2 linked regions of the Struthio camelus genome follow. The protein of the gene in region 1 interacts with the protein of each later gene in a pairwise test. Links are inferred from orthologs where the notes say so. Each region holds a gene or a part of one and is shown in the gene's direction. Other genes may lie near its edges.

Evidence for each region. The genes of interacting proteins can lie anywhere in the genome.
Region 2: the proteins of cAMP-dependent protein kinase catalytic subunit alpha (region 1) and PRKAR2A interact in a protein complementation assay, tested with the Homo sapiens proteins (2 studies listed by BioGRID). The link is inferred for Struthio camelus from reciprocal best matches to the Homo sapiens genes PRKACA and PRKAR2A.

Annotation. Positions count from the first base shown.
Region 1 is NC_090972.1:4,065,324-4,073,012, reverse strand, and holds the start of cAMP-dependent protein kinase catalytic subunit alpha, read left to right. Parts: upstream 1-4,609; 5' UTR 4,610-4,684; coding exon 4,685-4,730; intron 4,731-7,579; exon of another isoform or gene 7,580-7,689.
Region 2 is NC_090955.1:10,250,312-10,257,373, forward strand, and holds the start of PRKAR2A (cAMP-dependent protein kinase type II-alpha regulatory subunit), read left to right. Parts: upstream 1-3,977; 5' UTR 3,978-4,151; coding exon 4,152-4,419; intron 4,420-7,062. UniProt on the Homo sapiens protein: Regulatory subunit of the cAMP-dependent protein kinases involved in cAMP signaling in cells. Type II regulatory chains mediate membrane association by binding to anchoring proteins, including the MAP2 kinase.

The DNA of each region.
Region 1 (7,689 bases):
AGCGAACTAAAAGCTCCGCCTCTCCAGACATTACGGTACCGGGAGGGGGGAGTCGCCCCCCCTCAGCGGCGGGAGCGATCTCGGGCCTCCGCCTCTCCAGACATTACGGTACCGGGAGGGGGCGTCGACCCCCCCTCACCGTGGCCGGAGCGGTCTCACGGCTCCGCCTCTCTAGACATTACGGTACCGGGGGTGCCCCCCCCCCCCACCCGGCCCCGCTGCTGCAGTGGGGGGGGGCGGTGCCCCCCCCGGTCCAGGGGCTGCGGGGGGGGAAGAGACCCCCTCCTCGAGCTGTCGGCCGGGGGGGCCGAAATAAGCCCCCCCATTGGAATATGCGCCCTCCCCGCTGCCCCCCCGCACTGCGCGCCCCTCCCATTGCAATCCCCCCCATTGCACAGGCCCCCCCCGCACTCCTGATGGCCGGGGGGGGCTCCATTCCCCGCTCCCCCGACTTGGCTAGCCCCCCCCCCGTTTTACACGGGTCCCCATGGCACGGAGGCCCCCCCCCGCATTGAACGACCCCCCCCTCTGGTTTTCATGCCCCCCGCCCCGCATCTCCCGGTGCTCCCCGGACAGCACGGTGCCCCCCCACTGCACGATGCCCTCCTCTATATTGCACGGCCCCCCCCACTTTGCATGACGCCCCCCGGTTTGCACGGCCCCCCCCCCGCACTGCACGGCCTCCCGGTCTGCTATGCGCCCCCCCCCGACATTGTACGCCCCGCATCGGCGCTGCCCCCCCTTATTGCACAGTGCCCCCCACCCGGTTTGCACGGTGCCCCCCCGGTTTGCACGGCGCCTTCCCCCTCATTGCACAATCCCCCCCCGCATTACACGCCCTGCACCGACGGTGCCCCCACCCGCTTTGCACGCCCCCCCCCGTATTGCATGATACCCCCCCCTCTTTGCACAGCCCCCCCCGCTCTGCACGGCGCCCCCCCCTCCCGCATTGCACACTGTCGCTCAACCCGCACGGGTCCCCGCATTGCACGCCCCGCACCGGCTGTCCCCCCCCCCCCGCATCGCACGACCCCCCCGGTCAGCACGGCGCCCCCCCCCCGCGATGCACGACCCCCCTCCTCTTTGCACATCCCCCCCGGGTCTACACGGCGCCCCCCCCGCATTGCACGCCCCCCCACCGGCTCTGCACGCCCCCCCCCGCCCCGGCGGCGCCCGTACCTGCGGGGGCGCGCGGGCCCGGGGGGGCAGCTCCATGCGGCGACGGCGCGGGCGGTGCGGGCGGCGCGGCCCCCCCCCCGGCAGCGCCACCCCCCCCCCCCGCGGCGAGCACCGCTCGCCCCGCCCCGCCCCGCCCGCGTCACTCACCGGGGGGCGGGGCGCCGCGCGGCCCCGCCCACAGGGCCGCCGGTACCGGGCGGGGGGGGCGGGTGTGAGGGGACCGTTATGGGGGGGGGGGGTGAGGAGACCGTTATGGTGGGGGCGGGTGTGAGGGGACCGTTATGGGGGAGGGGATGAGGGGACCGTTATGGGGGGGCGGGTGTGAGGGGACCGTTACAGGGGGGGATGAGGGGACCGTTATGGGGGGGCGGGTGTGAGGGGACCGTTATGGGAGAGGGGGTGAGGGGACTGTTATGGTGGGGGGATGAGGGGACCGTTATGGGGGCGGGTGTGAGGGGACCGTTATGGGGGGGATGAGGGGACCGTTATGGGGGGGGCGGGTGTGAGGGGACCGTTATGGGGGAGGGGGTGAGGGGACCGTTATGGGGGGGGCGGGTGTGAGGGGACCGTTACAGGGACCGTTATGGGGGGGATGAAGGGACCGTTATGGGGGGGCGGGTGTGAGGGGACCGTTATGGGGGGGGGCGGGTGTGAAGGGACCTTTACAGGGGGGGATGAGGGGACCGTTATGGGGGGGGCGGGTGTGAGGGGACCGTTACAGGGGGGGATGAAGGGACCGTTATGGGGGGGGCGGGTGTGAGGGGACCGTTACAGGGACCGTTATGGGGGGGATGTAGGGACCGTTATGGGGGGGCGGGTGTGAGGGGACCGTTATGGGGGGGGGGCGGGTGTGAAGGGACCTTTACAGGGGGGGATGAGGGGACCGTTATGGGGGGGGCGGGTGTGAGGGGACCGTTACAGGGACCGTTATGGGGGGGAGGATGAGGGGACCGTTACGGAGGAGGGAAGAGCATGAGGGTATCGTTAAAGGGGGGGGGCAATCACGTGAGGTGCCCGGTAACGTGGTGGGGGGAGGGTTTACCGTGTGAGGAAGCCGGTAACGGGGGCGGGAGGGGGGAGCGGTGCGGGGCAACAGCCTCTTCCCGCCCTGGCGGCAGGCAGAAAACCTGGTGCGGATTTGCCCCCGGGAGGGGAGCGGGGGTAAAACCCGGCCTGGATCTACCCCCTGGGAGGGGACTGGAGGGTAAATCCCGACCTGGATCCGCCCTGGGAGGGGAGCGGGGGTAAAACCCGGCCTGGATCTACCCCCTGGGAGGGGACTGGAGGGTAAATCCCGACCTGGATCCGCCCTGGGAGGGGAGCGGGGGTAAAACCCGGCCTGGATCCACCCTTGGGAATGGAGTGAGGGGCAAAACCTGGCCTGCCATTCACAGACAGCACGGAGGGGGCTGGATAGGGCGGGGGTCAAGGGTCACCCCGGTGTCACGGGCAGGCCCCGCCCCCTCCCCCGCCCGGAGTCCAGCCTGACTTACGGGAACGGGGGAGGGGCAGGCCCCCCCTCCTCCTTTGGGGGAGGGGGCTCAGATGTCCTGGCAGCCCCTGCCCCACCCGATGTACAGACACGCGCGTGAGCACAGACACGCACGCACATGTGAGCACGGCCAGCCACACGCCTGAGCAGGGCCTCGCACACGTGAGCACACGCGTGTACGTGTGTGAGCTGGCACACGCACACATATGTGAACACGGCCCTGTGCACGCACGAGCAGTGTCACGTGCACGCGCGCGCTCGCACTCATACCAGCGTGGTCACGGACACGTGAGCGCACTGCTGCACAGAAAAGGTCACGCATGTGCACACGCTCCCTCACACATGACCCCCATCATGCATGACATAGTCATGAAAACATATTTGCACGTGCGTGGGCGGATTGCCACACAGGCGTGTGTGCAATCACACGTGTGTCAGTGCAGCCACGTACGTGTGAGCAGGCTCTCACACGTGTGACCACCATCACACACATGTGCATGCAGCCATGCACGAGCAGGGTCACACGTGTAGGTCACATGTCCCCTGCCAGCAGGGGGGGATGAGGAAGAGCCCTGCTGCTGGCTATCATTAGCCCTGCTTATAATTAGCATATGCAAATGGCTTCACTGGGGAGGGGGGGTCTGTAGTCAACAATGGGGGAGGGGTAATTAGTGCCAGTAATTAGTGCAAGGCGAGAGCGGGAGTAGGCTGGGGGAGTGTGCAAGGGCCATGCGGGCAAGGAGCTCCCATGCAAGGCTGGGCTGTGAGCATCTGGGGCAAGTTTGTGAGGGCCAAGTGTGCAAGGAGCCCCGTGCAAGCTGGGTACAGAAGCAAGGGTAAGCGTGCAAGGGCTGAGTGTGCAAGGCGCCTGGTGCACCAGCACACAGGGAGCTGGCACAAGGGAGCAGCGTGCAAGGAGCTCTGGCGCAAAGCCGGAACGTGAGCGCGCACGATGGGCGTGCAAGGGCGGTGTGCCAGGAGCCCCCGTGCAAGGCTAGGCAGCCCCGGGGCGAGTGTGCAAGGGCCGCGTGTGCAAGGCCGGGCGCGCGCATGCGCGGGGAGCATGCGCGAACAGCGCCCGGGGCCCGGCGCCCGCTCATGGCGCATGCGCGTGTCGGGGCTGCGCCGCTCCGCACCGCGCCCCGGCCGCCATTCGCCCCGCCCCCTCGCCCTTCCCATTGGGCAGCCGCTTCCCTTCCACCCTCCCCATTGGCGGCCTGGAAGAGCCTGCCGATTGGCGGCGGCGCGCGAGCGGGAGGCGGGGAAGCGGCGGGCGCGCGCCTCTCCCGGCGGCGGCGGCGGCGGGCGGCGCGGGGATTGGCGGGGCGGGGCGGCGGGGGCGGGGCAAGGCGGTGCCGGCCACTACGGGAGCCGGGAAGCCCCGCCCTGCTGCCGGGGGCTGATGCAGGCTGGGGGTGGGGGTGCAGGCGCAGCCCCACGGTGAAACCCGGGCCGCCCCGCTCCCCTCGGGGCTCCTGGGCCCCAAACCCGACGGGGGGTGGGGCAAGAAGGTGGGGGAGGTGCGCCAAGCGGGGGGGGGGGAGGGACGCCTAGCCCCTCCCCCCACCCGCCTGGCCCTCCAAGCCCCTCCCCTCCCATCGCCCCGCCCCCGGTACCCAGCTGTCTCCACGCCCCTCCCCACTTACTGTCAATCACCGCTGGTCCCGCCCCCTCAGCTGACGCCCCGCCCCTCCCATGGACCTTCTCTCCCCCCCCGCCCCCAACCCTCCCGGGTTCTATTTTTAGCCCGCCGCAGCCAATGGGCGGCTGGCGGGGGCGGGCCGAGCGCCGGAGGGACGGGCCGGACAGCCAATGGAAGGCGGCGCGGCGGCGGCGGCCGGGCCCAATGGCTGCGGCGGGGCGGGCGCGCGAGGCGCGGCGTCAGAGGCGAGCGGCCAATGGGACGGCGCCGGCGGCGCGGCGGCGCCAATGGGCGGCGGGGGGCGGGGCGGGGCGGTCCGCCGGGGAGCGGGGCGGCCGGGCCGAGCCGAGCCGAGCCGAGCCGGGCCCGACATGGGCAACGCGGCCGCGGCCAAGAAGGGCGGCGAGCTGGAGAGCGGTGAGTACCGGCGCCGCGCCGCCCCGGGCCGGCCGCCCTCCCTCCCTCTCTCGGCGGGTACCGGGCGGAACCGGGCCGGGGGGAACCGGGCTCAGGTGGCAGCAGGCCGAGCCGGGCCGAACCGGGACAACCGGGCGAGGGTGGGCCGGGCCGAGCTGCGCCGGGGGGAACTGGGCCCGGCGGAACCGGGCTGGGCTGGACCGGGGAGGGGGATGAGCTGGAGGGGAACCGGGCGGGGCTGGGGGGGAACTGGGACCGGCGGAACCGAGTCGAGCTGGATCTGGCGGGACCGAGCTGGGACGAAGTGGGACCGGCGGAATCGAGACAGGCCGGACCATGAGGGGTGCCGGGCCCGGCGGAACCGGGTGGGACCGAGGGGATCTGAGTCGGGGGCAATTGGACCCGGGGGGCCCTAGGTTAGGCTGGACCGGGGAGGAGGGGCACCGGAACCGGCGGAAGCGGGCCGAGCTGGATCGGGGGCCACCGAGCTGAGGAGAACCGGGCCGGGCTGGAGCCGGGGGTGAAGCAGGCCGAACCGGGGGGGGGGACCAGGCTGAGCGCGGGTCAACCGGGGGTCACCGGGGGGGGGGGAGGAGGCCGAACCGGATCGGGGGGAGCCGAGCTGAACCGAGCTGGACTGGGCAGGGACCCCCGGGGTGGCGGGGGCGGATCCGGAGGGCACAGGGACCCTGGGGCAGTTTGCCCCGGGGGAGGGGGTTACGGTGGGGGGGCGGGGCTTGGCGGAAGGGGCGGGGCATGCCAGGGGTTGCCATGGGCGCGGGGGCGGGGCGCGCGGGGGCTGCCAGGGGCGCGGGGGCGGGGCGCGGGGAAGGGGCGGGGTACGTGGGCGTCGCCATGGGGACGGGGCGGAGGTGGGGGGGAAGGGGCGGGGCGCGCAGGGGTTGCCATGGGGACGGGGGCGGGGCACGTTGGGGGTTGCCATGGGGATGGGGCGGGGCCTGGGGAAAGGGGCGGGGCTCGGCAGGTGCAGCGGGGGCGGGGGGGTCTCTGGCGCCTCCTCCCGCCCCCACGCGGGTCCCGAGGTCAGCGGGGGGGCAGCCCGGACGCCTGGGTCCCCGGGGTGCTGGAGACACCAGCAGGCTTTGGGGGTCCAGGCGGGTGCTGGGGACGCTGGTCTGGGGGTACTGGGGGACACTGGGGACTTTGATCTGGGGGTCCAGGCGGGTGCTGGGGACGCTGGTCTGGGGGTATTGGGGGACACTGGGGACACTGGTCTGGGGGCCCAGGCGGGCGCTGGGGACGCTGGTCTGGGGGTATTGGGGGACACTGGGGACGCTGGTCTGGGGGCCCAGGCGGGCACTGGGGACGCTGGTCTGGGGGTATTGGGGGACACTGGGGACGCTGGTCTGGGGGCCCAGGCGGGCACTGGGGACGCTGGTCTGGGGGTATTGGGGGACACTGGGGACGCTGGTCTGGGGGCCCAGGCGGGTGCTGGGGACGCTGGTCTGGGGGTATTGGGGGACACTGGGGACGCTGGTCTGGGGGCCCAGGCGGGTGCTGGGGACGCTGGTCTGGGGATATTGGTGGACACTGGGGACGTTGATCTGGGGGTCCAGGTGGGTGCTGGGGACGCTGGTCTGGGAGTATTGGGGGACACTGGGGACACTGGTCTGGGGGCCCAGACGGGTGCTGGGGACGCTGGTCTGGGGGTATTGGGGGACACTGGGGACGTTGATCTGGGGGCCCAGGCGGGTGCTGGGGACGCTGGTCTGGGGGTATTGGGGGACACTGGGGACGCTGGTCTGGGGGCCCAGGCGGGTGCTGGGGACGCTGGTCTGGGGGTATTGGGGGACACTGGGGACGTTGATCTGGGGGCCCAGGCGGGCGCTGGTTCTGGGGATATTGGTGGACACTGGGGACGCTGGTCTGGGGATATTGGGGGACACTGGGGACGCTGGTCTGGGGGCCCAGGCGGGTGCTGGGGACGCTGGTTCTGGGGATATTGGTGGACACTGGGGACGCTGGTCTGGGGGTATTGGGGGACACTGGAGACACTGGTCTGGGGGCCCAGGCGGATGCTGGGGACGCTGGTTCTGGGGGTATTGGGGGACACTGGAGACACTGGTCTGGGGGCCCAGGCGGGCACTGGGGACGCTGGTTCTGGGGTATTGGGGGACACTAGGGATGCTGGTCTGGGGCCCCAGGCAGGTGGGTCCTGGGGATGCTGGTTCTGGGGATATTGGGGGACACTGGTCTGGGGGCCCAGGTGGATGCTAGGGACTCTAGTCTGGGGGTATTGGGGGGTACTGGGGACGTTGATCTGGGGGCCCAGGTGGGCGCTGGGGATGCTGATCTGGGAGTATTGGGGGACGGTGGGGACACTGGTCTGGGGGTATTGGGGCGCACTGGGAATATTGGTCTGGTGGCCCAGGCGGGTGCTGGGGACACTGGTCTGGGAGTATTGGAGGGTACTGGGGACGCTGGTCTGGGGGCCTAGGCAGGTCCTGGGGACACTGGTTTTGGGGGTCCTGGTGGACACTGGTTTTGGGGTCACGGTGGCCATTGGGGACACCAGCACTTTCTGGGGGTCCAGGGGGAACTGGGGACACCAGTTTCAGGGTCCCTGCAGGCACTGGGGACATCAGCAGGGCTTGTGCGTTCAGGGGACACTGATTTGGGGTCTTGGTGGCCACTGGGGACACCAGTTTGGGGGTCTGTGTGTCCCCCCGTGGCGGTGTCATGTCCCCCCGTGGCGGTGTCATGTCCCCCGATGGCACTGTCCTTAACAGCGGTGCCACATCCCCTAGAGTCCCTTGTTCCCCCCATATCGGGGCCGGTGGGGGCATGGGCCATACTGGTCCATACTGGGGGGGGGGTGTCCCCGTGGCCTGTCCCCGCCCGCGTCGCTGCCACCCCGGCCCCAGGGACAAAGTCTGCGCACCCCCCCCTCTCCCGGGGTCATCGCCCTGCGGCCGCCTCCTCCCGGACGCCTGGGCCC
Region 2 (7,062 bases), on another chromosome or scaffold:
AAATGGCAAGCAGATCTGATTAAGAGGTCACAAATGCGATGCCTAACTTATTTGACTTTATCATGTTTTTTATACTTATTAATGTGGCCTTTGAATTATTTAATATTGGCTTAAAACTTCTTAATATGAACCATCCTGGTATAGGACAATGCATAAAAAATAGTACCTACAGTGTTAAGATGCTCTGGACCCTGACTAGATTAATTCATGAAGCTTAAGTGGGTCAGACCAAAGGGTACTCAAGCCCAATGATCTGTCCCAAGAGTGCTCACTAGCAGATGCTTAGAAAAGTGATATAAGAAACAGGGCAACTATAGATGATCTTTCCTTCTACCTGGAACCAACAGATAATTTAAAGCCAAAAGCTGCAGCCAATCTCTCAATTTCAAAGCCACTGCTGACTCTGTTCCTCATGAATTCTCACTTTTTGCTTCAACAGCATCCCACAGCAATGAATTCCACAATTCAGCAGGCAGGATTTCACTTTGTTTATAGAAGGCCCTAAAGCTGACTTTTACTCAGGACTGTTTTGGAATATATGTGTTTTAAAGGGCTTGCTAGCGTGTCACCTACGATAACACGCAAGAGCTATGCTCATGATAATAAATCCACCTACCCTTAAACAAGAGATTCTGTTTTCTAATATCAACCATCAGAATACTTAATGTGTTCTCACATTATCCTTGTGCTGAATTACTTGTAGTGAATTTGAAGGCAAACGTAATTAATCCAAGATGTACATATGTTGATATAGCATCTGAACTCTGGCTGGTGCTGACATGTTTATTGAGAAGTAAATTATTACCTGTTATAACAGGATTTATTTTACTTTTAAAGAGCCAGTCTGGAGGGTTAATCTGATTATGTTTCTCCAGTGCCAAGACTACGCAGACTATTTTGACATTTAACTTGCAACTTCACCTCTCCTCCTGGCAGGACAAACACTGAAGTTCCATCATAGTTTCACTAACTGTGCTCCAAAATTACATAAGACTGGCTAGGATAGGTAGAGTGAGGGGAAGAGGCCTCAACATTTAGGAGCATAAAAGCAAGAGTACAAGAAAAATATAGGAATAGTTCTCAGTTATTAAAAAAAAAAAAAAGAGAAAATATGATCCTAAAAATAATTGATGGAAATACTTTGGGGGCCAGATCCATCAGTCACTCAACTCTAATTCTATATCATGTGCTGAGTAAACCAGGGACCCAGTGGAGAAAAACAAGTGTTGGTCATGCTGTGTAAATTAAAGACATTATTATAGAGGGGACAAAATTAAGCCCGAAAATGCATTTCCTAATATCTTTTCTAGTATTATTTTAATGTGGGTGCTTATTATTATAATAATTAAAAAGCTAATGCAAACCTAGTGAGAAAGAAAAGCTTATGATGAGTTATATGTATGCACAGCATGCAGTATTACCATTAACTTGATCACAGACAAGTCTCTTGCATAAACGTGCCATCAATTCTGACTGTTACAAAACAAAAAGTATACAAAGAAATGTGACAAACTGTGGTATAAAACAGCTTGGAAATATGCTTCATGTGACCTTGGATGCTCTTTATTTTGTGCACTGACCTTCAGAGAGAGGCTGAACAGACCTTCACTGTTTATGTTCCTGTGAAGCTGATTAGTTACATGTGGACATATAAATATCAGAAGGCTAACACAATGTAGCTCTTCAGAGACTTAACAATATTTACTGGTAACACATTTTTTCATATAAATAACCAGATTTATATACACAGGCACAAATGAGAGAAAATTATCAACAAATGTTAAAAGCTGATACATGAGCTGAGTAATGCCAAAAGCAGGCAATTGTCAGGTGGCTGGCTGTTGTGCAAGAGACTGGGAAAGAAAAATAATTGTCTTCCCTTGCAATTGCCGATTCTCTTTCTTTCCTGACCCTACTTGCCAAAGCTTTCTGTTCTTTACGTTTATATTTTTTATTTTCTTTTTTCATTTTCACAGCATTTTTTAAATTCCATTTTTACCTCCTTACCAGCAATAACATCTTTGGCACCGAACTGGCAAAAGAAAGAAGATCTCATCAGAAATCTGAAATATATTTTTTGTGGAAACTAACAAAATATGGTTTTCTCATTGATCAAAACCATTTCCTTGTAACAGTTCCTTATCAGCAGATAAAGTATGCACATCGAGCAGGTGCAGCGTGCTCTGGTATTGTTTGAGACCATCAGAAAGATAGTAAGAGAGGGGTGACATGAAAAAGCAACAACTGTCATGAATTATCTTTCAAGAAAAGGAATATAGCTTGTTGTGCCTGCTGTAAAAAGCAACAGAAACGGAAACAGCTCCAGAATCCAGATAAATTGATGAGATGTGGCAAATCTACCTCCTATGATTGTTTCTAATTTGTTAATTTAGTATGGATAACAGAAAGTATGGATAACAGAAGTAACCTTACCCTACATAAAAATATGAGAACCATATTACAAAGAACATCTTGTAACAGAGACAGTGGGTGCCGAATAAGAGCCACAAAATTTCCCAGTGGCCCCTCTCACAGAAAATAGTCAGAAAAAGCTCTGAATACGGTGTTCTGGGATCCTCAGTTGTGCCCTTCATGCAACAGCGATGAACAGACTATCTTTGTATGGGAGTGTGGTAAGAACCATCTGGATATGTGATGGGACCTTTTGGCACATGAGCAAACAGAAACAAAACACACAGTAAATTGCCTCAGCCAATTCTGAGCTTGTAAATTAAAACTGTATTTTGAGTACATGTCAATTTCTGCCCTTTTATTGTTGAAACAAAAGAAGAATTAAATAAAAATATTTACACTGACAACATGCAGTGGCGTCACCAAGCCAACATCCCTGTTCCCTTCGACTCCTGTTTGTACAGGCCTGTTTCCTTCCAAGACTAGCTTTCCAACAACTCCAAATCTTAAGGGCGGATGGCTCCATGCCACACAGTGAGTAGTCTACCACTGGGCACCTGCCAAACCTTCCCTGCACATATAAACAGATAACAGCGCGAAGCGTGTACATTTTTTACAAGGAATATAAGCAACGATCTGAATAAAACTCATTTGCCAACATATGAACAGGCATCTCCATTGCTCACACATAGGAGCAATTGATGAAATACTTCACATTTCAGAAAAACTTCATCTTTACCACGCTCACATGTGCGGTATGAAGTAGATCAATGCCATTATCACCATGTCATGATGATGACACTGGGGCTTTATAAAGATTTTACCAAGAGGTACAAAGACCTGCTGACTCCTCTTGCGCTCGCTGCTTTTAAGAGTATTTATTAACTGAGTTATTCTGACGAGCAACTAGAGGGCTCAAAGAGGGCCAAAACCTAATCCCAGTCAAAACCAAAGAAAACCTCCTTCTTCCATCCCTGCTCTTTGGAAACATATACACCAACACTGAGGCTTTGCAGAAAGGAGAGGGGAAAGAAAATAAGTTAACATATGTGGTGACTAACCTGAAAAAAGCTGTAAAAAAACCTTCCTTACGCTATAAATACTTCTACATATTGAAGATGCCGGATGACGAGAAGCAAGAGTCTCCACCAGCTTCCACAGCCTGTATTTTCTCGTCACTACACAAAGCCCTTAGCTTCGTTCCGGGAATAACGTCAAAGTCAGATTCGCCAACACCACGCAAAGCCTCTTTGACGCTCCGCACGCTGCTGGCCGCCCGTTGCTCATGGCGCCGCGGCCGTTGGTGGCCTCGAGGCGCCGAGCACGAGCACGAGCACGAGCCCGCGCGCCCCGCGGCGCCTCAGGGTTCCCGCCAGAACGCCCGCCTCGCGCCTGCTCCCCTCGGCGCCGCGCCGCGCCTGCGCACTGCCCCGCCACCGCCCTCGCGCCCGCCGCCGCCGCCGCTCCCGCTCGCGCTCGCGCCGCGCCTCACTGTGACGCACGCGCTTCCCCCCTCGGCGCGTGCGCGGCCGCCGGCCCCGCGCTCGTGGCCGCGCCTGCGCAGCGCGGCGGCCGGGGCGCTCCCCTCCCCCCTCCCCTGCCTTCCCCTCCCCTCGGCGCGGCTGGCGTGACCGGAGCGGCGGGAGTCAGTCAGCGCCCCGCGAGGGAGGCCCGAGCCCGCCACCGCCACAGCGGCCGCGGCGGGAGGCGGCGGCGGCGGCCTCCGCACTCGCGGCGCCATGAGCATCGAGATCCCGCCGGGCCTCACGGAGCTGCTGCAGGGCTACACGGTGGAGGTGCTGCGGCACCGGCCGTCCGACCTCCTCGGCTTCGCCGCCGACTACTTCGCCCGCCTGCGGGATGCCCGCGACCAGGAGGCCGCGGCGGCGGCGGCCGGCGGCGGCGGCCGCAGGGGGGTCAACTTCGACGGGGAGCCCATGCAGACCGAGTCCAACGGCGAGGAGGAGCCCGAGCGCGGCGACGAGGACTCCGACTCCGACTTCGAGCGTGAGCGCCGGGCCGGGGGGCGGCGGCCGGGCCGGGTCGGGGGGGCGGCGGCGGGAGGGGGGGGGGGTCCCGGCCCCGGCCCCGGCCCCGGCCCCGGCCGAGTCTCGTCCGCCCGCCGCCGCCGCGGGATCCTGCCGCCGGGGCCCTCCGCAGGCTGCGGCTGTGCTGCGCTGCGGGGAGCCCGTGCGCCTGCAGCAGGGTTGTCCTCGGGGCGGGGGGGGGGGGGGCGGGGGGGGAGAAGCCTTTGCTCGGTCTGTTGGGCTCGTAGCGCCCGAAAGGAGAGACGCTTTCCCGGGGTGGGTGCCAGAAAGCAGATGTGCGGAGGTCCCCGAGTAACGGCCGAGCTCGTGCCCGGGGACTGAGCAGAGTTATCGGAGTGAAATGAGCGGACTGCTAGGCATGTGATAGGGGAAGATCATGTGTTATTGTGCAGTTTCTTCTGTACTTGCCCACAATGTTTTAAGGGCAGAAGTGGACAAGTGGATAAGGATACGTGTTCTTCATTGAAGTTGGGGATGAACTAAGTACTTCTTTTTTTTTTTCATTCCCAGTGTTGTTTGTTTAAAGCGCTGAGATAGCTTTTGGATGTGTTGCTAAAGAGCAACAATTCAAAACCACCTGTGTCCTTCTGTTTATGCTGCAGTTCTCTAAGATAGAAAAGATACTGGATATTTACCTGATCTGGACAATGAAACTCTACTTGTACATTTGTTTTCTGTCATAGTGAACAGTGTTTGGTGTGCAAAGCACAGTGTTTATAACTTGGAATTTTAATTGAGCTTCAAAGAGGAAAGTTGCATAAAACGTTTGTGAATTGTACTTCTTAACAAACTTGAAATTTTGGACCTGACGTTTCTGAATCTTCTCTCTTTAGTAGAAGGTAACTTAAGCGGGAAGGAAAGGTGAAAAGACGTGCTTTCCCTAAACTTTCAGTCCTTCATTTGGAGTTCTTATGCCCTTGATCTATAACATGAATAAAGGTTTATGACTTTAAATAGATAAAGGATACTTTTTCAGACCAATTACTGCATGTCACCCTGTGGATGTAGTGTGTTCTTATGTCTGTATTCTGGTTAATGGTTTTAAAGAAGCGAGAAGAAATTAAACTGTGGAACACATTGTTATTGTTATTAAGGAAACATTGAGAGACCAGCTATTGTTGCAACCCTTTTAGGCTGGGAACTTCACAGACTAAAATGCAGGTTCTACTCTCTTGAAAGTGTGCAGTCTGAACAGAATATGCAAATGTATCAGAGGACAAGAATAAAACATGCAAACAGGACGAATTATCTAGCAATCTGCATTTACTGTCTTTTTTTCCCTGCAAAGAAGGGAGTTCTGTTTAGGGCATGAAATAGGAAGAAGAAAGGCAGCAAAGAGGAGGAAAGTGAAATGGGCAGTGATTGTGGCTGGAGTTAAGTCAAGGAGATGTGCAAGAGTGAGCATGTATTTATGACAACCATTATGAGTTATTTTATCTTGCACCCAAGTTATCAATATTTTAAAGCATCTCTAAATATAAGTTATCTATATATAAATTGTTTCTTATAAAATAGATTATTTAAAATATAGTTCTAGAACGGGAGCAAATTGCAGTAAATAATTGAATGTCAATTTTTAAATGTATAATATTTCTGTAAATAGTATTTTTCTTAGAAGCCCTGGTGGAGGCTTTCTTTTGTTGTTGAATGCTAGTTTTCTATTTCTTGACCAATTTGTCTTGTTTTAAGGTTTGAAAGAACAGGGAAATGAATGTAAAGTTTTCCTGGTTAATGGTGGAAACTGCGGCTGAAAGGATCTTCTGAGCTTCAACATGTTCAGATGGAAATTTATAAACTTGGTGGTGGCAAACCACTTTTCAAATATAGCTCTATGTGGTGAGGCTGTCCAAAGCGTGCGCGTGGCTCCTTTGCTTCAAGTTTCTGTTCATCATCTTTTTATCTCAGATAGAAAATTAAAGAGACTCGTTGATGTCACTTGTGCTAGTCAGAGCCCTTGAGGCAAGTGGCACTGTCAGTAATACTATTTTGCTTCTGCTCTGAAAAAGTATGCTATTCCCTGCTTATCGTTTCAAAGACTTGGTAAAGGAATAGTGATATATATTTTGTGTAACAGCAGGCAAAAGTCTCTGCATAGGGTCATGAAATGATGTTTTTATCATGTTGTTTAACATTGGGGGGGGGAGCAGTCAACTATGGCGGCATGTCTTTTAAATTTCCGTCATAGCTGTTGTTGAAGAGGACTCTAGTAACCAGAGAATACTGAAGTCAGAGGCTCTAATATCTGTATCCTCTGTATGCTATCTAATATCTGTATCCTCTGTATGCTATCTGAAGATAGCAAAAATACACAAAATGAAAAAATCTCAGATGGTCCAACTGAACAGATCCTAACAGTGTTTTATTAAGATTGTATTTTTCTCATTTTGGATAACTTAGGATAGTTTTCAATTAATTTCACTTTGCTTTCCTAGTTTAATATTCTAGTTTTGAATTGAAAAGACTGAGGTCAAATGGATGTTTTAAAATATTTCCTCTGAAATTAAGAAAGAAAAGATAAAATGGTGATTTTTTTGTAAAATATTATGTTAAGAAAATTTAAACCTAGTTTAAAATTTGTTAGGTATATGAAAGACTTCTGCAC